Linked DNA regions of Lytechinus pictus. The protein of the gene in region 2 purifies or fractionates together with the protein of the main gene of each other region. This does not show direct contact. Links are inferred from orthologs where the notes say so. Each region holds a gene or a part of one and is shown on either strand. Other genes may lie near its edges.

Region 1 (7,330 bases), on a different chromosome or scaffold from region 2:
TTGGCAGCATAAACAGTGAAAAATTCTCAACTGGTATCATTCCTTAAAAGGGATGTTGAATTATGAGTTTCAATAAAAGAAGAAACATTAGAGAAAACTATAAGTCAGGGCTCCCCACTAACCCATTTTTTCTACTGGTCCAACCTATTCATGTCGGACCAGTACATACCCAGTTTTTCAAATTTTTACTGGTCCGAACCTAAAATCTACTGGTCCCAAAAAATAAAGGAAACATTAAAAAAAAAAGGCGCAAGTTTATTTTTCTAGCCTTTTGTTACCCCCCCCCCAAATAAAATGAAGGAATGAATGACAAAAAGAAAGCAAGACAGAAAGAAAGAAAGAAAGAAAGAAAGAAAGAAAGAACGAAAAAGAAAAAGAAAGAATAAAAGAAAGGAAGGAAGGAAGGAAAGAAGGAAGGAAGAAAAAAAAAAGGGTAAAGAAAGGATAGATGTGAAGGAAGGGAAAAAAAGAAAGAACTAAAGAAGGAAAGGAAGGAAGGAATAAAGAAGGAACAAAAATAAGAAAGAAAGAAAGAAAGAAAATAAAAAAGAAATGAAGGAAAGAAATGAAGCAAGCAATACAGAAAGAAAGAACAAATCCAGAAAGTAGTAAAGGAAAGAAAGAAGCAATAAAAAAGAAAGGGTAAAAAGAGAGATGGAAAGAAGGACAAAAGAAAGAAAGAGAGGAAGGAAGGATTGAAAGAAGGGAAAAAGGAATTAAGGAAGAAATAAAGGAAAGGTAAAATGATAGACAGAAGGAAAGAAATAAAGGAAGGAAGGGAAGGAAAGAAGCAAGCAATATAAGAAAATAAAAGGTAAAAGAAAAGATGAAAGGGAGAAAAAAAGAAAGACTGAGAGACAAAGAAAGGAAGGAATGAAAGAATAAAGGAGAGAAAGGAAGCAAGCAGTCAAAAAAGAAAAGGTAAAAGGACAGATTTAACAAAGGGAAAAAGGAAAGAACAAGACAGATAGAAGGAAGGAATGAATGTAAGAGAGAGAGGGCTGAAAGAAGGAAGAAATAAAAAAAACAAGAAAGGGTAAATAAATGATGGATGGATGGAAGGAAGAAAGAAACAAAGAAAGTAACAAAGAATGAAGGAAAGAAAAGGGTAAAAAGAAGGAAGGAACGAAAGGAAGAAGAGAAGAGATGAATATAGGATGGATGGACTCAAGAATTAAAGAAAGGAAAATATCACCCAAAAAAAGAAAGAAAGAAAGAAAGAGAGAGAGAAAAAAAAGAGAAATAGAGAAAAATATTTTTTGAAAGGATAGAAAGAATGTAAGAACAAATTAAAGGAAAAAAGGGGAAATTAAAAAAAGACAGTAACAAAAAAAATGAAAGAAGAGAGGGAAGAAACAAAAAAAGCTTAAAAAGAAAGAAGGAAAGAAAGATAGGAAGAAAACAGAGGAAGAAAGCTAAAACTATCAAATAATTTATCAGTTTCTTTTGGCTCAATTAAAATAGCTACGAAAGAAACCAAGTGTATCAACACACACATAAATGCATATGTGGGGCTATTATGTATTCAGACGATATCACCCGAAACCCGATCTGTTTGAACCAAAACAGAAGTGAAAATTTCTCCTTTTACTGCTTACAAATTACAGAGTTACTCCAATTTTTAGGAAATATGGACATTATAAGAGCCTTTCATGAGTATGAATCGTGAATTTTGACAGTTCTGTGAGAGATTTCTGCCAGAGTTTAGCCAAGCTTCCTTCGCGCAGCCAGTAGAGAATTTACCACGTGGGTTGTGTGGCTGGCTACATGTACACTGTATGCTACTTTAGTAACACTTACGTGCGATTCATTCTGTGTGTATTCTGTGTGTGAATGACATAATTTTACGGGGGGAAATGGTTTGCAGTGAATTTGACCATTTCTGGAAAAGTTATTGGCCCAACAATGGTTTTTATTACTGGTCATGTCGGACCCTTAAATCTTGCTATTTTTGGAAAAATTACTGGCCCGACAATGATATTTTTTACTGGTCATGTCGGACCAGTAAATCTTCCTATTTCTGAAAATCTACTAGCCCGACAGCGATTTTTACCGGTCTGGGACCGTCGGACCGGCGCTAGTGTCGAGCCCTGTATAAGTGAAAGTTTGATGAAAATCTGACTAAGGAAAACCCGAGAATTGAATTTTTAAAGTTTTGACTTAGTAAAATCACAAATGAGCAGCTCGTTTATATGTCGTATGATATAATTTCACATAAATGCTATTTCGATTATCTAAAAAAAGTTTAATTGATTTTAGTTGTGTGGCAGATATATCACCAGACAGGAAGACACATTTTATAACCTTTCTAATTCTGCAACCCCCAAAAATTATTCATCATATTCCAAAACAAAACTGAAATTTATGGAATCATATTACATGATTGGGATATCCTACTATGAAAAAAAATCATCAAACCTTCTCAATTGTTTTTTCTTTATTAAAACCAACTTGTCATCAAGATTATCAGGGTGAACTTTGTCTTTAAATACAAACTTCTTTTTAATTCATTTTTAAGAAAGTTCAGATTTGATGATCATTTTCTCAATGTCTCTGAGGCTAACCATTCACAATTTTGGGTTAAAATCATTTTGAGACCAAATCTTTCAAGGAATTTCCAGCAAGCTTAGAGTTTTTAGACAGGGCAAATTGTGTGAACTACAATACAAAAACAATAGCGAAAGAGAGGATTAAAAACACAACATCTTTATTTCATGTGTCATTGTTATCTTTTTCTTTTTCCCCTTCCACTGCTTTCTTCTAATTCCTTCTTTCTCTCTCATTCTCCTCCCTTTCATCTCATACTTTGTTTCTCGTTTCTTCCTTTCTTCCCCCCCCCCCCGTCCTTTTCTTTTCTTTCCTTTCTTCATTTCTCTTGTTTTTCTCTATTCCCCCCTTTTTTTCCCCTCTCCGTTTTAGCCTAGAGCTAGATCTAGCCTAGCTTTTTTTTTTTTTGGGGGGGGACAAGGCTTCTTCACCTCGGCCCCCTTCCTATGGACCCGCACCTGGATAGCAATCATACCATAGTCCACACCGCTTTATTTTTAGACTGGGACACGAAAGCTGAAACTGAAAGGACTGAACCTAGCGCTGCGCGCTGCCCCCACGCCGCCGCCGTAAACTGTTTATTAAACACACATCCAAAATAAAGGGATCGGACTGAAGTCATTTGAACGATGATTAAACGTTTCGGTTTCGATGGTTAATGTTGCATATTTGATAAATCTGGTAGATCTGTTGCTTTTTATTTACTACTTTGAAAATTGAAGAAGTCACCCATCCCTTGAAAATTCAAATTATCGATGGTTAACTTACCAACACCAGGCTGTTTGCGACAAAAAATTAAATCTGGATGATGCTTCGCCATGTTTCCAAATGTTGACTATATGATAATCGCCGCAGATGGCGCTAGCACTCCTTTTTGGAAGAACTTTCTTTTCCTCTTCTTTTTTCCCTTTCAGTTTATTTGGCAAGCATTAACTTCCACTCGTTCTGATTTATTTATTTTATATCTATTTCATTTTAATCATTTACCTATATGGTATTGAAAACTTTTATTGGAAAGAATTCCTTATGCAACAGCTATTCTAACCCTTCTTCTTCCGTTGAGTACAGTCCTCTTTACAGAGTATGGTATAGTCGTACTTGGCTGAGGCCGCAATCACAAAAACACATGACATTTGGTGCAGTTGAACAAAACTAAACTATAGTGCAAGTAAAAAGATAAAAGATAAAATCCTAACCCTAATATATATGTATTTTTCACTTTGGGTGGCTATCACAAATAACACCCCTTTTATCTATTTCATGTATTTTATTCCATTTTCAGGTACACATGGCATTATACTCATAACAATAGTCAATTTCAGTATATTGAAAATAATCATACAATATCCAACATACAATATCAGTGTGAAAAAAAAAAAGGGAAAGAACACCAGCTAATGCCTGGGGATTATCAAAAGACATCAAGTTTCTGATTAAAGACTCTCCTCATTAGCTGGTGCTAAAAAGAACACGAACATTAAAATACAGTTCAACAAATAACAAATAAAAATGACATTTGAAGACATAATTAATAAATGCAGGTGTAAATGAAAGAAAGGAAGGATGGACGGATGGACGAAAGAAAGAAAAAAAAAGCTGGATAAGAGTTAAAAAAAAGGAGAAATGGTGAAAGCAAAGAGAGGGTGAGAGTTTGAATGGAAAAAGAAAGAAATAGAATTAATGTAGAGGGATAATCCTTTTTTTTAATCTTTTTATTTTTTATTTTTAATATCTTTTTCATTTTCATTTTTTTTCTTATATCTTTCTAATTCCTGATTTAGTGTTTCTTTTCTAGTGTTTCTTTTTTTTCATATTGTGCTTCCCTCATTCTTTTCATTTTTTTTTTCAAAATCTAAAGGTCACTATTTATAATCTGAAATTGAGGTCATTATGCATAAAATGAAGATGGTTCATATATCAATTAAAATATATCGCATGATGAATATTGGACATCCACAAGCACACATTCACATTATCGCATATAAAAGATCAATCCCATTCCCTCAATGTGATTACTTTGTCCCATCGGGGCTTTTTATGCTATCAAGGCTACACTTACAATAAAAATCATACCATCTTATAGTGTTGTGATAATTATATGTTTATTTTATATGATCAATATGTACAAGATCAAATACATTTACAATACATTTACATTGTACTACCTACATATACTATGGATCTTCTCAAAAGGTAAATGACAGCATATACAAGAACATGGGAAGAAAACATTCATCCCTTTAAGAGTAAATAATATAAAAATATAATAGCTAATGTCCTTACTACTTGATTACAAACATGATTTAAGTATCTTCTTTTATAAATATTTAACATTTCCTTCTCTTTGAATAAAAAACATCATCATCATCGCCAGGATTTTGAAATTCAAACATTTTGAGGACAGCTCAAGAAGGATTGATTTTAGCGTTTCAGCATAGATACAGTGGCAAACTTTTATGCCTAGAAAGAGTTCTCTATAGGGATTGGGAGACAGTTTTCAGAAATTCAGACATGTGATGGTTGCTACCCTTGTAATATTTCCATAATACAGCCTTTTCTGTGCTGGCCTCAAAAACGAATTTTGCAACAGAATGTTTGAACACCCCAAATGACAGTATACTGGGGGCCGTTTCACAAAGCTGTTCATAAGTTAAGAGTGACTTTAAGAACGACTGGTGATCCTTTCTTGTGGTAAATGATATTCACCATTAAATGTTCATTGGTGATTATTTAGCGCGTAAGAAAGGATCATCAGTCGCTCTTAAAGTTACTCTTAACTCACGAACAGCTTTATGAAACATATCCACAGTGTATTATTATTATTTGTTTGGCGTCACCTGTGCCTGGGAGGCGAAAAGTGAACTGAATCACTATGACCCGCAGGTCTCTCCTGATATAACTGATTGGGGGGGAGTGCAGGTGGACCACTACACCATCTCTTCATAAGCTCAAAGGAACATCAAGATTTTTAACAAAGCAAATAAAAGCATCAGACTAACTTTTCCATGCTTTCAAAATACAAAACACTTTCAATGTACCTCTATTGTTTATGTAGAGTCCCTTGAATTTATTCGTTTGATACTATAGAGGCGTCCTAAATTTTGGAATGGGCACCTCTGTGCTTTTACTCATACAGATACCGAGACCCGTTCCCACTCTGCTTTGAGTTGTTAACCTCTACATTCATATTTTAAGTTAGCAGATAAGGAGAAACTTGTTTATTAATAGAAATATTCAGAAACTTAGTCATGACCAAGGCTGTATGCAGCATAGGGGGCAATTGCCCCCAGAAATTTTGAAAACTTACATTTTTTTTACCGGGAATTTCCACAAAATGATCTATAAGTGCACACAAAATCCTTCAATATCACTTTAGAAGATGTAAACATGCCCAAATGATAAGCTTGGTCACCTACAATCCCATAATTCTTTATGCGTCGTGTCCCACCAGGGAAAAAAAATAAATTATGTACGGCCTTGCTCAAATCTGGTCCTTTGAAACATCTCAAAAAAAGTTAAAGGCAATTTTTTTAGGTTCTATAGATAACACACACAAAACCCCCATCTTGAGGATACAAGTTATATTGACCTCAAACAAATTACTACATTATATGAAGAAGTTAATTTATGATATTAACAAATCAAATTTAGATACATGACCTTGATACGATACACCACATACATGGTTCCTGAACCCCATCATGAAAGAGGGGGGGGGGGGGGCAAACACTTACCATAATACTACATTCATAACATAAGAGGTTTGTGCCATGTTATCTCATGACACAATATCCCCCTTCCCTCTGCACAAGGGCTGACAAAAACAAAACACCTGTGATTACGATGGTGAACAAATATGGAATATGCAATAATAATCATGCTTTTTGTCATGCTTTGATAATTAAACATTAGCTGTCCCCCTTTCACGACTCATATTCTACACATAACACAGGATGCCACTCTCCAATCAATTAAAGACCTACATGGCATAACAATACATAAATACAGAAAGTAGCATATTAAAACAACATGCAACTAGATGACAGGCTTAGATACACTTGATAGTAACTTCTACGAATCTAGTATACTCAGGTGGTAACACTCAAAATTGATGAATTGCACATGTACAAGAAATGGAATTACAATTATTTTTCAAGGATAATAGAATACTAAGTAAACTAGGTGCTGGATGCATGCACAATAACTAAATCTAACTCCTGCTTAAAAAAGAGCAATACATAGATTCAAAGAACCACTAGCCTGAGCCAATGACCATTCTTCACCTGAAGAAAAAAGGGCAGGAACTGAAAAGAATAGAAAAACAAAATAGGAAAAAGGAGTCTACATGCAGTATTTGTAGTGTACTTCGACTTCCATGCATATCTTTTAATGTATTGGATGTGAAAAAATATTTAAATACATATTTTTTTTCTCATCTGTTGGTTAAACTAATCTCTCTAAAGGTCTCCGAACACCTTATGACTGGTCTATGATCCAATTTTGGAACAAATTGCATTTTTGTTTATTTTCTCAATAAGTGAATGATAAATAGGTATATACTTTCTTTAGGTTCAAAGTAAATGTAGAATACTAATATAATAACAATTTTGGATGATTGCAAGCCATTACTTTGGAGTTGAGGCCAAATTGGTTTCATATCAAGGCCGATCGAACGACTGTTAAGATGTCATTATGATTAAATATTGAATTTTCTTCTATTCTCATTAGGAAGGTAGCATTGTCACAGATTTTAAGCATAAGTATTCCTTCGAGGATTAAGAAC
Region 2 (8,276 bases):
CTTCTTTGTAGTCATTGGATGGATAGGGCCTACTATATAAATAGCCACTCTGAGAAATGGAATATCTATTACGGGCATTTTGCCAAGTGGCACTTTGGGAACTCTTCCCTTTGGTACTGTCCGCTGACAAATGTCACAAGAGCGACAGAAACGAGTAACATCGGCATGAATGCCGGGCCAGATGAAACAAGTTAAAATCTTCTCAGTGGTTTTGCCTATGCCTTGATGCCCACTCATTATTCCTTCATGAGCAAGTGACAACACAACTTTCCTAAAGAGCTGAGGGACTACCAATTGATTCACATAATTACCTCTCTCATTCTTAGGTTGAAACATTCTGTACAACAGTCCATCATCTACTACGAAATAAGTGTTCTTCCTATCATCATCTGACAAACTAACTTGAGCGAGTTCTCTCGCTTTCTTCAAACTAGGATCCTTTGCACTTTCTCTTCTAATTTCTTCAGGAGAAACGTCTGGGATCTGAGATGGAACTTTCAAGGGCCGCTGGGGGCGTCGAGCTTCTCGACTCTGAGACCTTGTCTGTACAGCCAGGCCTACATTAGTACCATCATCACAATTAACTTCAACTCTCTCATCTTCAGAATTAGAGTTACCATTGGAATCTACATTCCTAACATGACCTTGAGTACTATCATCACCGTTAACTACTTTTTTCCAATCTGGATGGGGATTACTCATGGAATGGACACCTTCAATGTCCCCTATTATAACGTCAAAAACTGGTGTCTCTATACACAGTGCTTCTATTGTACCTACAAACAAAGGGGAGCTAATATGAACATTAGCAGTAGGAAACCTACAGAGAGTGATCTATCAAAACACATTGTCTATATTTACCAGTAAGTTGATCTGACCTCACAAGACTTTTCTTAACCGCAACACCGGAACATCCTGAATCATAAAGGACATCAACCTTGTGTGATCCAAACCTACCTTCAACAACAGTTAACTTACCATGCCAACGACGCTGACATGCAGCACACATCATCAGTGATTTTTGTAAGGTATCTCTAGTAACTATCTCTGACTTATCTTTCTCACTAACTAAAGACATTAACAAAAGTCCAAGTGTCTCACTTCCTTCCATATCTGGACTAACAAGCGAACAAGTTGCACAAGAATCTGACCTACTATCAACTGCCACTTTACTATTTGTTTCATACTGAGTTGATTCTCTTTTCTGATTTTGGCTACTACTTTTTGAATGATCAGTACTACAAATTAGACTTGCACCTTGTAATTTGGAGTTACATTTAGCTGCTAAATGCCCCATCTTGTTACAGATGAAACATGGACCAATTCTTTTCCGTTCAGGAGGCGGATTTCTTAAAATCCCCGGACTTGTCTTAACTTCACTTGGGACCTTTCGCAATCCTCACGGACGCTAATATTAGGGTCCCCTAACACAAAAGTTAACGCTTAATAATACACTTGATTTTTAAGATTGATTGTGCATTATAGTCAATAGAATCAAACGTAGAAAACTGCTCTACAATCAATGCCAAGCTTTGTGTTACAGGGGGGTTACAGGCCCTACAGATCTGCTTTTCGTGTGCAAAATCCTTTTCCGCGACACCCGCACCATACATGTACATGCATGTATATTACGACTAATGGCTGGAGATATTCGAAATGCAGACCTAAAATAGATTATGACATGGATAAGAAAATGGTTTTTCAAACAAATCGAGTACATATTGAGTGAGGAAAAACTTACTGAATGAAGGCTTAGATATAGATCATTACAGTCCATCGAATCGATATTAGATTTAATGTGGATTATTGGTGTATCACTGGCAATTGATTTCATGGGTCAGATCAACCTCTCCAGTCTCCAGCCGAACATTTCGCGTGAGTTGATATGTGCACACCATATGCAATACGTTTGAACTCGATCGTTTCTTTTTGTTTCTTTTGTTTCTTTTGTTTACTCCTTCTACACAAACGATATGCCTCTCGCACACGATGTAATGGGCATTATGTTTTACTTCCCCCAGAAATGGGGGATTAGATTCAAATTCCGGGGGGACCACTTCCATTGATGAGTGGATACCAGGCACGACCATGGGGTTTCGAAAAGTACCCTAAACAAGCTGGGAAGTAATTCTTTTCCAGATTATGAAAATGCATCTCTGAACAAGAATTTGGCTTGTGAAACCCTACAAGTATTGGGTATATATCCCTTTTTTGTCAGCATTTTAAACATCGTTTTGACACCCTTATAACGTTACATAGGCCTATACGTAACGTACCTGCCCACTCTGTCCCCTTTTACGCGTGGTCGCTCCTGGTATCCACTAATCAATGGGAGTGGGCCCCCGGGCGGCCTCTCGAGCTCTAGGAGGAGTCAAATGTGGCTTTGGAAAGTCGTCCTCAATCGGATATATCGCTGTTACCATAGTAGCAACCAAAATTTTGCACACGAAACGCATATTGAATGTTTCCGTCGCAGATGCGAAACGAAAAAAAAATCTCATGTCACACAATTTGCATTGTAGTACAGAGTTTTACACCCATGATGACGGGCCCAAAAAGTCTCTTCCAAAATCAACTAACGTCGTAAATAAGCGTGCGCGTCCTCAAACGAAAGGTCGGGACTGTCTGACTGAGGGTACCTACTACCTTGTGGCTTACCCTTCTTATCATTCTTATCTTTTCTGGTAATTCCAAAGTGACCACTATGGGCCTCTACATACGTGTCTGCTAGACTAGTCATCTCTGAAATATTCTTAGGTTTCCTTTCCTTCAGAAAAAGACCTAGAGAGGTTCCACCTCTCTCAACCAGTTGTTGTTTGAGTAACATTTCTACTACACCATCGAATGTACGTTGCGTACCTGACAGATCAATCCAACGACTCAAATAATGTTCTAACCGAACAACAAATTGACTTGGGGTCTCCCCGGACTGTGGATTGGAATACCTGAACTTTTGACGAAAATCGTCACAAGTAAGTTCAAACCTTAACAACAATGCTTCCTTGAGGGCATCATAATCTTCAGCTTTATCTGCTGGAAGTCTTGAATACACATCGAGTGCCTTACCTTGCAAGAGTGCACTTAAACTAATGGCCCAACTACTTCTTGGCCATGACTGAACCTCCGCATACTTCTCAAACCTTTTGAGATATGCGTCCATATTATCTTTTCCTTCAACAAAATGAGGGAGTTTAGGGGTTGGTGCCAAAGTGCGACCGTTTCCATTACCATTATCAATCATACTATCAGACCTACTCTGGCTCTGAACACGAGCCAATTCAAGTTTCATCTCCAGAATTTTTTCTTCCTCTTTCCTAACTTCTCTATTAGCCCTACGTTCCTCTCGCTCTAATTGTTCCCTTTCTCCTACAAATGAAAGAAGCTCAGGCCCTGACAGACCTAATTCCTTACCAATCTCAAACCACTTAGTACTCATGTTTAAATGTTCAAACTACCCCTACCTAAGTCAAAGAACTATTGAGTAACTATATACTATATCAACTATTTCTTATAGGGGTGTTTGATAACTTGTGTGGCACAATTTTCATACATATTCAATTTTGCAACTCACCGACAATCCAAAATAAACCTTTACTCGCACTTGACCTTGCTGCGCATGCTCGTCGCTAGCAGGAGTGTTGGTGCACTGGATGGTCCTTGGCCCACTGACACAAAGAACTTGAAGGATTTCGGCTAAATTCTGAAAATTGAACAGAAATTTGTTCATAAGTACGTATCACAAATTTTGCGAGGGGTCATGTCATCGACCAATTAAATCTTATGTCTGTTGACCAATAAAGACAAACAGAAAATCCTAGACAATCAAATCCTATACCAATTAATTCAACCAACAGGGTATGTTATGGCCCAAACAACTCGGACAAGCCCCCAAATTGTCACATTGTGTTTGATGTGAACTTGACTTATTATTCTAATCAGGCTGTTTGACCACCCAAGAATTAAACTATAAGATGAAATTGTACATTTCGATCAAAATGAATTTATTATATATATCAATATTGCCATTATCGAGGCTCACAAGCTGTCAAAACATAAAGATCAAGAAAACAGTATCAACAACGTTTTGGAACAATCTGTCTCAATTCAAATTAGTATAATCTAGACAAATTAAGTTAGTATTGTGACCTGCAATTCCTATTCAAGGAAAGAGCATAAACTCTGTGTTTATGAAAACAATCTATATAGTATACGTATACCGACTGTGGGGAAAGTTCAGTTTCTCAAGTCTTCACTCATCACCCGTTGTCAGACGTCAAATGCATCAATGTCCAAATTGATCATGCGATGCTGAAGAAATGTGCCGAACGGAAGACGATATGGGGATGAACTCGCGAATGCGATGAACTAACCAAGAACTCGGGACTTTCCGTAGAGAACGTAGCAATCGTAGAACGTCGTAAGACGTCGAAGAGGCCGTGAACGTCACAAGACGTAGGACGTAGCTAAACATTGCCAAACGAGGAGAACCATGGCAATACATGGAAACGTGGAGACACGTGGTAAAACGTCAAGAGACGTGGATAAATCATCGAGAAAACGGCCGTCTGGAAGAGAATACGCAAGGATTAACAGCCTACAGTTCATATCATTTCTGTTATTCAAATGGTTTATAATAGAATAAATGCTGAGTACATTCAAGCAGGTCAATGAACTTTCTATACTTGCTTCCGAGTACCTAATAGCAGTGTCCTTACTCATATAAAAGTCACCACTCTCGTAGTTAACAAGTGTTTAAACAGAAGCTTCGACATTTGTATAAATAGACTAATTGTCTTGATAAAGGACAAAATACCTTTCAAGTTTTAAATATTAGATAATTAGGTCACTTCCTAAAACAATCATTTCATGACATGTGTTAGACATATAAATATAATATCTGATATCTTACATGTAGATGTATGTCTCATATCTTAGTCTTCAAATAGCATAATTATCCTTCATCATGTTTAATTGTAATACAAATCAACATCACGGGTTCTAAATATAATCATAGCTTTTCATAATAATATGGTAAAATAAAACATCAACTTACAGTCTGGACCTTGAATTCCAACCAGTGTACCAACCACTGCTGGCTTACATGCCACTCCAAATATCAAAGGCGTGGCACCAAAGTGCTGGCTTTCCCAGCCAAGGAGCTGCTGAAAGATGCTGCTGCACCCTATGCTTGCTTATCTGCAGTCTGCTGAACATTTGCTTGCATAGCCCTATGCAGTGCACACACACAATAGCTATCAAACACAGTGAGGGGTTGCCTACTCTAGCAGTTAGGTTTGGTCTATTCATAAACAAATTAGGGAGTTACTCAACCAAATAGGCTCTTCCACTGGCTAGTAAAGGGGAGTTTGAATAAGCTTCTGACAGGTTCATGTTGATGAATTCCCTTTTTTGTGGGAAATTCAACCTTTGCTGGAATTTGCTTATATTTAGCCATCATGATTACTTTTTTTTTTGGTAGCACAAAGTTGGCAACTCTGTAAATAAACATATCAATTCAAATCCAATCCCAAATATTATGTGAAATGTAATTTCATATTGAACTGTTTTCTCTTTCTTTCAATCCTATAGAAAGTCGACTATGTGACCTACCTTTCCATTGCTGATCGGCTCTTTGAAATATCAAAGGATAAGAAGAATGCGGAATATAGACGGTAAGTCTATTCCTGTTGTGGTAACAATCATTCAATGAATTCTAGAGAATCCAACTAAATGAAGAAGAAATACATTTTTTTCTCATTCATCCATGCTCTCTTACTCATTATCCTTCTGTCTCTCCCTTTCTTTTTCTTTCTCTCCCTTTCTTTTTCTTTCTCTATCCTATGGTAAAAAACCCAGCTTGATTTAGGTAATGATTCTCCATTGTCCATGTGATCATTATCAATATCCAGGGATTCCTGCCAGTTTCCACCCCTCCCCTCCCCCCTCTCTCTCTTTCTCTTATTTATCTGTATTATGATATAAGAAGGCCCATATTTCCATGCTGATTACCAACATTCTAACTATATCTTTCTTTATGTCCTATCCTAGGTATCTGGACCTAATACTAAGTTATCTGCAGGACTATGCGTCAAGGGTCAAACCAATCTTGGACTTTGCAGAGGAACTAGATAAGGTCAAGAAAGAGTTTGATATTCAGTGGGAAGCAGGTACTTTCCCTGGCTGGCCGGTGAGTCATCTCATGTGCTGTGGTGTTTTAGAAAGAGTTGGGTGTGGTTGAAAGTCATTTCAATATCCTCTTGGTTGTCGTATACAACCAAGTTCATAGGAAACATAATTTTCCAGTCCTCCCTCAAAGAAGTGGAGTACAAGAAATGCAGTGAAAATCTTGAGTACCAGTATGAAAGCAATATCCACTATGATACAAGACAGGAAGATCTGCTAATCATACATGTTTGCAGTGTTTAGTGTGTGTTTTTCATGCTTTATCTTCATTCAGCTTTGCCTGTAAAATGGAAACTGACTTTTTTTCTGAGATTTTTACCATTGCTTTATCATACATTTTATATGTCTCACCAAACAACAAGAAATCTATGTATTAGAAAATTGGGGCCTGTATTATAGATGTCCTTGAAGTCCAAATTAGTCTTGTGTGTTTATTTTCATTTGTTATATGCAGAAAGAAGCAGCGAGTGCTATGACCCATGCTGGTGCTCATCTTGACCTGTCTGCCTTCTCATCATCAGAGGTAATCTACACCTAGATTGGCTTCCTCTCAGATAGTCTACATGGGCTGAACATAACTTTATCTTACTACCTAATAACAGTTTGGTTCAACCATCATTTGGCTTACTTCCTAGATAGTCTATTACAACATAGGCTAAACCCATTATATCTACTACCAATTTAACTGCCATTTGGTCTACACTGCACTTGATCCAATACCTATTTCATCTAATCCTCATTTAGTCCATTTCTGGTGGGTTTATAAATTTCCACTTATTCTACTTATATTTTACTTTTTTCAAACTGAAAATTTGGTTCATAGACTGGTCATCTAACCCTATATAGGCTAAGTGTTATTAGACTAAGTGGATAAAGAACAAAGTGGATATAGCCTAACTGAAAATAAGACAATGCAGTAATTGGGCTTGCATTGTAATTAGCCAAATTTATTAGTACTTGAACTAGTTGAAGACAAAGCTGGTCTAGACAAATTGGTGATTTACTGTGAGTTTTCTAAGGAAAGGGGAAATCCCTGGGGTAAGTCTTTTAAATGAAAGGAGAGAGTAAAGGGAAGCATTTTTTCCCTGAAAATTTCCTTTAGAATCGGTGACAAAATGAAAAACCTGTGAAATTTGAAGACTCGATTTACTTCCTCTGGCAATCCTCAAAATGGCAAAGTTGGAAATGGCCTGTTGCCAGAGCAACGGCTCTTTCACCCAAGAAAAGTTGCTTTATAATGACAGTACAAATCTCAATATGTTTTGTACTCAAATTTTATAGTTTCTCCTGTTCTCCTTTACTGTATATCTAAAGATTCTGCTTGTACTTTTGGTGAACTCAACTTATATTGTGTCAAATACATTTACCCATGACATAAGTGGTGCTAAAAAGGAGACCAACTACACCTTAATTAAGGGAAATTTTGTGAAGGAAAATATGGAAAGTTGTACTACTAAACCTGTTACTTTAAAGCAATATTGCCTAGCTGAGGATCACCATAGAAAGCATATTGAGTACAAAATATGTGGAGAGTTGTACTATTTAACCTGTCACGTGATGGGATAAGCAAATTTGAGACTTACATTGAACTTTTACTCTTTCACGTACAGGAGTTGGCCTCGCTTGGTCTTGATCGTCTGAAGTCAGCCCTGATGGCGCTTGGGCTGAAATGTGGTGGGACCCTGGAACAACGAGCCCAGCGTCTCTTCACTACCAAGGGGGTCCAGCTTAATGAACTAGACCAGGCCTTGTTTGCTAAGAGTAAACCAGGCAAAGGAACTAAAGCTGGCAAGAAGTAAGTGTCCATTGATAACCTATGTAGCTTGCCTACTGCTACTTATTACCCAAATATAGAAATCATAACTAATAAAGAGCATTATAAACCTCTCTTTAAGAATGTCAAATAATCTTTTCCTCTTTTCTTTAAGAATGTCAAATAATCTTTTCCTCTGATTGGTCAAAAGTGGGGTCATATATTTGACCATGCCTGCAAAACAACAGACAAATGTGGTTACCAAGGGCAACGAGCATAGTTAACAAGATTTGTGCCTGTTGCCCCCTGATTGCCCCCATTAGCATTGGGCATAAATCAA
Region 3 (7,815 bases), on a different chromosome or scaffold from region 2:
ACAAATACCCCCCATTACCAAAGTTTGTGGACCCTAAGTGACCTTTGACCTTAATCATGTGACCTGAAACTCAGACAGGATCTTCAGTGATACACTATTACTCTTATGTCTAAGTTTTCTGAACTAGGTCCATATACCTTCAAAGTTATGACATTTCAAAATTTAACCTTGGACCTTAATATTTTGAAATTGATTCCTCCGACATGGTCTAAGTTCATTGACCCTAAATGACCTTTGACCTTGGTCATGTGACCTGAAACTCAGGCAGGATATTCAGTCATATTTGATTACCCTTATGTCCAAGTTTCATGAACTAGATCCATATACTTACTAAGTTATGATGACATTTCAAAAACTTGGTTAAGATTTCAATGTTGACGACGCCGCCGCCGTCGGAAAAGCGGCGCCTATAGTCTCGCTCTGCTATGCAGGCGAGACAATAAAAACATGTATATATGTAACCTAAGAGTACAAAGGCAACTGTGCAGATGACTCACCTTTCGTGCAATGAAAGCACATCTCTGGTCTTCAAAACATCCATAAAGTGTCAAGGCACTCCAGAGCTTGACCAAATCACTGAATAAAAATAAATCATGTTAAGTTAATGTACTGCATAGCTACATGCGTATCCTTTGAATGTTTGATTTGATTTTAACGAAAATAGAAAGCAGAGGAAAGCTTCACAGAACAAAATTATTCCTAGAATTATTGGTACCAAAACCTTGAAAATGAAAATATACTAGTATGTAGGTCCTTTATAGAAGACCAGACCCATACTCCTTTCCAGAATAATTCATGATGGGTGTTAAATGCAGCCTTTCTGTGCCACCGTATAGGAAAATAAGAAACATGTGAATACAATCAGTTCACTTTAAAAACTTTCAAACATTAAGATAATTATGACATTTACAATAAAAGACATTGAATGACAGTGATACAAATTAATTCAGAAAAAAATTGATTCATTTATGGTTATTGCATTTTGTATACAATTTGTTTAACATGCTGTATGTTTATTGTTTTTTAAAAGATGTCATGTGTGTTTTGGGAATTTGAAGATGATTTCATTTTCATAGTAGTACTGTGAACCCGGGGGGCCACTTACATTGACGAGTGGATACCATGCGCGACCAAAAAAACACGTAAAAAGGATGTCCTTTTCACGATAGGGCACGTTACGTACGTAACGTGATAAGGTTGTCAAAAACACAAAAATAATGAAAAAAGGGTGTCTATTTCGCTAGGAAAATTACGTGTTTAGGGTCGAATTTGCGGGAATGATAAAACAAAATTAAAATGTTTTATAAAGGATGTCCATTTTGACCCAACACTTCGTGTTTAGAGTCCGATTTGCGCGAGGTGTAGAAGGTGGGGTCGTACTAAACCAAAATAAGGTAAAGCCGACGACCGAAGGACTCGTAACAATAAAACATTCCTGTATTTATTTAGGGGTTCATTTCAGGGAATATTTGCCAAGAGTATCGTTTTTGTTTCCAATACTTGTTAGGGTAGGGTTTCACACGCCAATACTTGTCAAGGGGTGCATTTTCAGAATATGGAAATTACGTGTTTAGGGTGCTTTTCGAGACCCCATGGTCGCGCATGGTATCCACTCGTGAATGGAAGTGGCCCCCCCCCCCCCCGGGACTGTGAACCATTGACAATGTAATAAACCATTAAATAAACAGACAAAAACGTAGTGAAGATGGAATATATGATTATAGGAATGGTTAATAAACAAACTTCAGTTTGAGTTGCAGTATATACATGTACTTCCTTTTAGGGGCAGGAATGGGGTACTTAAAATAAATGAAAACTATTGATACATATACAGTATTTTATAATAACATACCAATTAGTTTTATAAGTGAATGGGAACTTCTTGGAAATCCCAGGTAAAGTTAATAGAATTAAATAAAGTATGTGCCAGCACTACACCTCCAATGCACTTGGTACATGTTTGTATATTGGTGTAAGGTGCATGAGGATGATTTATCATCTTATTAATATTATGATGTCAAAGCTTAAAGATAAATTCCAGTTCTGGTGACGATCTCAAAATGACTTTTTACAGAATCTAATATAATGACCACCTAAGTGTCTGTTTGTATGAATAAAAAATATGTGCCAAAGGATTCTGGAAGAAATTGTGTAATTGCTATGAAATTAGCAAAATAAGCGCGGATTCTGTCACTTCCGTCGGGTCTTTATTCCAGCAATAATAATACACTGTCCCACGTGTGCCTATCTGTGTTGGCGATCTTCAGTGTGATCGTATTTCAGCTTAGATTTTATGATTTCACAAAGTTCAGTTTATGTAACTGTACCAGATCTAGATCCACGGTGATATAGTCATACTTAACCTTGGTTTTACAGACTTTCTCACGAAATTAGTGTTTTACTGCAACTACTATCATTTAGCTTTAAAGACAAAACTTTCTGAGCATGATGAATTTTTATTATTAAAATAAACTCAAATTCATGACGAGATATTTATAACTAAAAAACCCAGAATCCACACAAAGTTAATGTAGATACTTTGATTAGATTTAATACAAAATGGCATTTTGGAATATGAACTCCCCAGCAGACATTCAAATATATAATTTTCCTCATACAAATTTCTGTTTGTGAATGTGAATCAGTGTTCTAGCTAGACCCATCTTAGTGGTGGTCGCTATTTCACAGCATTACAAAGTTTTTTTCAGGCTGAGTTAGCAGTCTTATTTAAAGCCAAAAGTGAAGGAACATCAATGTAATAACAATCTTAAATTAACAACTCTTTGAAAATATAGGCCTACTAATATCACATGTAAGAATAAATAATGTAAATTATGCAAAAATAACAAGATTAAAGATGGATATGAACAGGTGTGCAATTATTTCATTTGAAATCAGTGGTGGATGGGAGCAGTGTTTTTTGTGAGTGGTGGTCAGATTTTTTCTGGGCTGGTTGAGCCAGACCACTGACGTCCACTGTCACTATCCAAATTGACCTCTACATGACACATTCCAGATATGCATGCACATAGTTTGGGATTAGTGGACGACTGAATGTGTTGAATTCTACCAGTGCAACTTGGCCAGGTTGAATTGTTTTGGGGGGGGGGGGTAGTTGGGGAGGGGGATAGGGATATTCTTGGACATTTCTTGGTTTCTCTAAGAAAATGGTAAATAATTAGATACACACCTCTGACGAACTTTAAGGATTCCCTGAATATTTTCAGGATCGTACATCAAAAGATCTACCAGAATTGCCACTCCAACGTCACCATGAAGTTGCTTTAATGCCAAACTCACAATTACCTCAAACATCCTCTCCTCGATAACTGGTGGTGAGCTTTCAAACTCTCTGTCGATGAAAAAGTAAGAAACAAATTAAAACCCCAACATATTCTGCTATCATAATATTTGTTCATATGCAATTCAATAACAATGAATAGAAATGTAAAATATACAGCATAGCCCTGGGAAGTTGGGTGCTGAAGCACCCACATTTTTCCAGGGGGGGGGGGCTGCAGCTATTTACCATATGCAGAACCCCATGGAATTCAGGCTGACAAGCAAGCAAAAATTTTTTTTTAAATAACCCCTTTAGTTTGGTTTTCAACTTTTTTTTTCTAAAGACACCCCCTGAACCCCCCCCCCCCCCGGCCCAGTACAGCAGTGTCAGCACTAGACCAAAAGCTTCAGTCTCTGTATTTTGGTTGTTCCGCTGAACTACGTTGGCTCCATGGGGATTACAGTAAAATGTCAGAAATTGTTGAATAAATCCCCAGAAACGACGGTTATTCCTGTCTATGTCAGCACCCGCTATTTAAAAATCAGGGCCCTGATGTATTGTAGGCCAATAGAGAAAGCATTGGATAAAATCCCCTAGCTTTATTTAGAAATTTTTATCTATTTTTGCACTACAACTGCAGACAGCTCATTTTCACATTCCACATTTGGTGGCAGCAGTGGGATACAGTACATGGGAGAAAAACGGCCCAGCCTCATGAGACACGTCAACACACAATAGGATTACTCATGGGATAAAGGCTCATAAAAAGGATGTGATAATGCTAAAATTTGTTGAGCATGAAGCACAGGCCTAATGGAAATAATTCTCTTCCACATCAAATCAAAGTATTGACTTTTGAGTAATGATTGGATTTTAATTTTTAAGTAACAAAGACTTTAAAATTGACGTCAGCTTCATTTTCAGGCAGCTGATCTGAACACATGATTTTGACATGCGTGTCGACGTCTTTCACTGAAAGACTGAAAGTTTGTCAAAATGAAAGGGTATTGATACTAACTTGAAGAAAAAATGAGAAAATATTGGTCATCAAAAGATAGAAGCAGAGAAATGAAGACGCTAAAGTTCAGTTCTACGTTAGTACATAGTGTAGACTTAAATTAAATAACGTGCCGTTACTCGTTACTTGGCCTACTCAGAATCTCTCAATATGTCCCCTCCACTTGAAATGAAATAATATCTCGTCTACTCACAATTTGACACTCAAATAAATGTATGCATTACAATCCATGATTTGAATCACCATTAACTCAGATCTTTCTAACGAAAGTCAGCTAGCTCGTGACTTTAAATAGCTTAGCCTTTGGCATTGCAGTGCCAGTGCCTAGCGCCTGCATGTCACAGTCGTCACAGCTAGACGGTCGAGCCGATATATATTGGCTGCTGGGCCTGGGAGCTGGAGAGAGCTAGCGAGATCGAGAGCTAGCTCTACATTCCGTCGTGTCTGATCTGCTGCTTCCCCTATAAAGGCTATATAATGATATTGTTCTTCATAATTTAAAAATGAATTTTACCTGAATAATATCAAAATATTTTGTTTTATATTTCAAAATGTAATAAGATGCAAAAATAAATGTAAAATTCTGGAACCCAAAATTCTGTTTTTTTTGAAGTTTTGTTTGAATAATTAAGGACACATCACAAAAAATTGGATCTCAGTCCAGGCGGCGCTAGCGGCGAGCACGAACGAGTTGCTCGAAAGCGTCTTCAAGATCAACCAAATTACCGGTATGTATGCTTTACATCCAATTATATTTTAATATTTATGTCAAACCTCAGTTATCTAGGTGTGTGAATATGTATAGAACGTTAAAGAAAGACATTTACTTTGCCTAAAGATACCGGTACGCTACGCCCAAGGGCCAAGTTTAATAGAACTAAACTTTCATATGCCGACTCCAATTGAGTGCGCTCGTCAGTGTAAACATATAGCGTTTCATAACAAGATTGCAGTAAGAGTAAATGGCAAGTCATAAAGAGTAGACGGCGCGGTGATGGGAAATGAACTGGAGAGCCAGAGGCGGCCCACTCACACTAGTACGAGGTTAGTATAACGTTAGAGGTCACAAAATTTATTTTTACTAAGCGTTAAGCCTGAGTCACTCATATCGATTATTTTGAAAACCGGTGTTCGACAGCTTTAATTCGATCAAACATCTGTAGTGACTTGACTATATCTTTTTATATATCTACATCTATGTATTCTTTCCTTGTATGGCAGTGAGTCCAAACTTCGCGTGTGTCCATACTTCGCGGACGGTCATTATCTAAAAAACTAGCCAATATTCTTAAAATCTGACATCATCAACGTGAAAAGCGACCTAAAATTACCCTTTGGTGTAAGTTTCTTTAGGATGAGTTCAGTATTCATGAAAATATTGGCAAAAGATCGGCAAATTTGTCACTGTTGGCGCCCGTTTTGAAGAAATCTGATATTTTCAACAAGCATCACGATATCACCATTTTGCAAGCAGAAATTATCAAAAATGTGAGTTAAATGTGGTACTAACCGATTCTATAGCATTTTGCCATCAATCTGATATAAATATTTCATTTTTTGAGCTTGAGTTTTTGTTTAAATGTCCACAAAAACTTTGCTCCGCGAAGTTAGGTCACACTTTTCTGAACGGTTTTCCAGCACAGCGCGCATTCGCCGATCAGAATAGAATTTTGAGATCGCGATACCGGCGAATCCCCTTGACCTACTTTACATTTTCGTCCATGATTTTGCAGTTTACGATCTTGCCGTAAATGTGGTAACTATTTCTTGAATTGGTTTTGTATAAATTATGAATATTTTGTGAACAAATTTAAGCCTGATAAATATTTTTGAAAAGTGCGCGAAGTTTGGACACCCCATCATATATATTTTCATTTATATTTCAACATTCTGTATATGTATATAAATTCTTTCTTTTATTTCAAATTTCATATATTCTCACTTGTTCACGCCATGTGTATGTACTACAATACTGTACATTCACAGAGCAAGACCATTTCCTGCCCAAATCTACTTCCTGAACTGCATTCTTCATCTCACATCTTTCTACGAGATGATGCTGTTACAAAGCCATTGCAACCTCCATACAGAGGACCCTTCCGAGTCATCCGTCGCACTGACAAGTATTTTACCATCGATTATAATGGTAAACATGAAAATGTCAGTGTCGACAGACTGAAACCGGCTTTCATCGAGCAGGAGGCTACCGCTCCTTCATTTCATCATCAAGATCCACCTGACCAAGTTCATCAACAATCCAACTCCACGGACTTGGCAGGGGATCCTGATGACAAGCATATGCCTCCCGAAATTCGTAAGACCCGTTCTGGTCGCCATGTCAGGTTTCCTGCCAAGTACGTTCAATTTTTCGGAGACGGTTGAAACATTTCTCAAAATTCACGGATGTTTCCACTCCTTTATTTTCTTGTTTTATATAGCCAAGTTCCCTTTTACTTTCCCTTGTCGATTTGTTACTACATTTCTATTCGGTACAAATCTAGGGGGGAGCTACTGTAGTGACTTGACTATATCTTTTTATATATCTACATCTATGTATTCTTTCCTTGTATATATTTTCATTTATATTTCAACATTCTGTATATGTATATAAATTCTTTCTTTTATTTCAAATTTCATATATTCTCACTTGTTCACGCCATGTGTATGTACTACAATACTGTACATTCACAGAGCAAGACCATTTCCTGCCCAAATCTACTTGGCAAACACATTCTTATATTGAGAAACAACCTTTCTTTTGTTCCTAGACTTGTAGCAAACATCCTTTCATTGTTCCTTGTTTATTACAATGAACTTGCAGGTATACAACATCACTACAAGATGCTTGCATGTTTGCTTTTCTCACAGTCTGCTTCTCTCTTCTTTGTTCTTTTCAACTTTGTTTTGCCTCCCTTTTTGACGCTTATTTCTTTGTCTCATCTTTTCTGATGTTGGTAAAAACAACTTGTTTTCTCTACCACATCATCACTCTACTCTCTGCCTTCGTCCTGTCCACTCATGCTGACCATCTCATCCAGCTGCTAGTGAGGATTGAATCAAATCTTGTGGAGGATCAACTTATACTTAATTATTTCTCTGCATTTTCCAATCTTATTTCTTACCGTCACTTCCACTCCTTCGAAGTCTATATTCTCTGCATATTTAATGAGCTCATTACTTCGCGAGACATTTTGTGACATCTGTCCCTTTTTCTACTCTATTTGAAATTGTGAAGTGTATATATTTCTATTCACGGATTTGTGCAATTTATCTGAGATTCTGAGCGGCTGGATCCCATTCTATCTTCTGGCGAGCAAGAATTAAGGTAGGACCTAACTTTTATATAAATATTAGGAGATCGGCTTTGCCAATTTCCTAAACATCGATGCATCGAATTTTGAAGGCATGGCGGGGAAAATCAAGTCTATTTTTTTGCTCTGCCTCTGGCATGTCTGGCCGGCTGTCGCATCGATGCGCACTGTATGCACTGACGGTATTAGACCAAAAGCTTCGG

What was found. The genes of interacting proteins can lie anywhere in the genome.
Region 1: the proteins of splicing factor 3A subunit 3-like (region 2) and PHD finger-like domain-containing protein 5A purify together in Homo sapiens (affinity purification with mass spectrometry; 3 studies listed by BioGRID and IntAct, with this or other methods). This does not show direct contact. The link is inferred for Lytechinus pictus from reciprocal best matches to the Homo sapiens genes SF3A3 and PHF5A.
Region 3: the proteins of splicing factor 3A subunit 3-like (region 2) and splicing factor 45-like purify together in Homo sapiens (affinity purification with mass spectrometry; 4 studies listed by BioGRID and IntAct, counting the BioPlex papers as one, with this or other methods). This does not show direct contact. The link is inferred for Lytechinus pictus from reciprocal best matches to the Homo sapiens genes SF3A3 and RBM17.

The regions. Positions count from the first base shown.
Region 1 is NC_087254.1:7,084,316-7,091,645, forward strand, and holds the start of PHD finger-like domain-containing protein 5A, read right to left. Parts: upstream 3,419-7,330; 5' UTR 3,368-3,418; coding exon 3,316-3,367; intron 1-3,315.
Region 2 is NC_087248.1:31,929,059-31,937,334, reverse strand, and holds the start of splicing factor 3A subunit 3-like, read left to right. Parts: upstream 1-5,230; coding exon 5,231-5,287; intron 5,288-5,589; coding exon 5,590-5,672; intron 5,673-6,048; coding exon 6,049-6,187; intron 6,188-6,637; coding exon 6,638-6,706; intron 6,707-7,793; coding exon 7,794-7,978; intron 7,979-8,276. UniProt on the Homo sapiens protein: Component of the 17S U2 SnRNP complex of the spliceosome, a large ribonucleoprotein complex that removes introns from transcribed pre-mRNAs.
Region 3 is NC_087247.1:38,896,169-38,903,983, reverse strand, and holds the start of splicing factor 45-like, read left to right. Parts: upstream 1-4,397; 5' UTR 4,398-4,494; coding exon of another isoform or gene 4,495-4,547; 5' UTR 4,548-5,029; exon of another isoform or gene 5,030-5,033; intron 5,034-7,542; exon of another isoform or gene 7,543-7,626; intron 7,627-7,815. Other genes in the region: ribonuclease P protein subunit p14-like, read right to left, coding at 498-576, 3,191-3,352, 4,495-4,547. UniProt on the Homo sapiens protein: Splice factor that binds to the single-stranded 3'AG at the exon/intron border and promotes its utilization in the second catalytic step. Involved in the regulation of alternative splicing and the utilization of cryptic splice sites.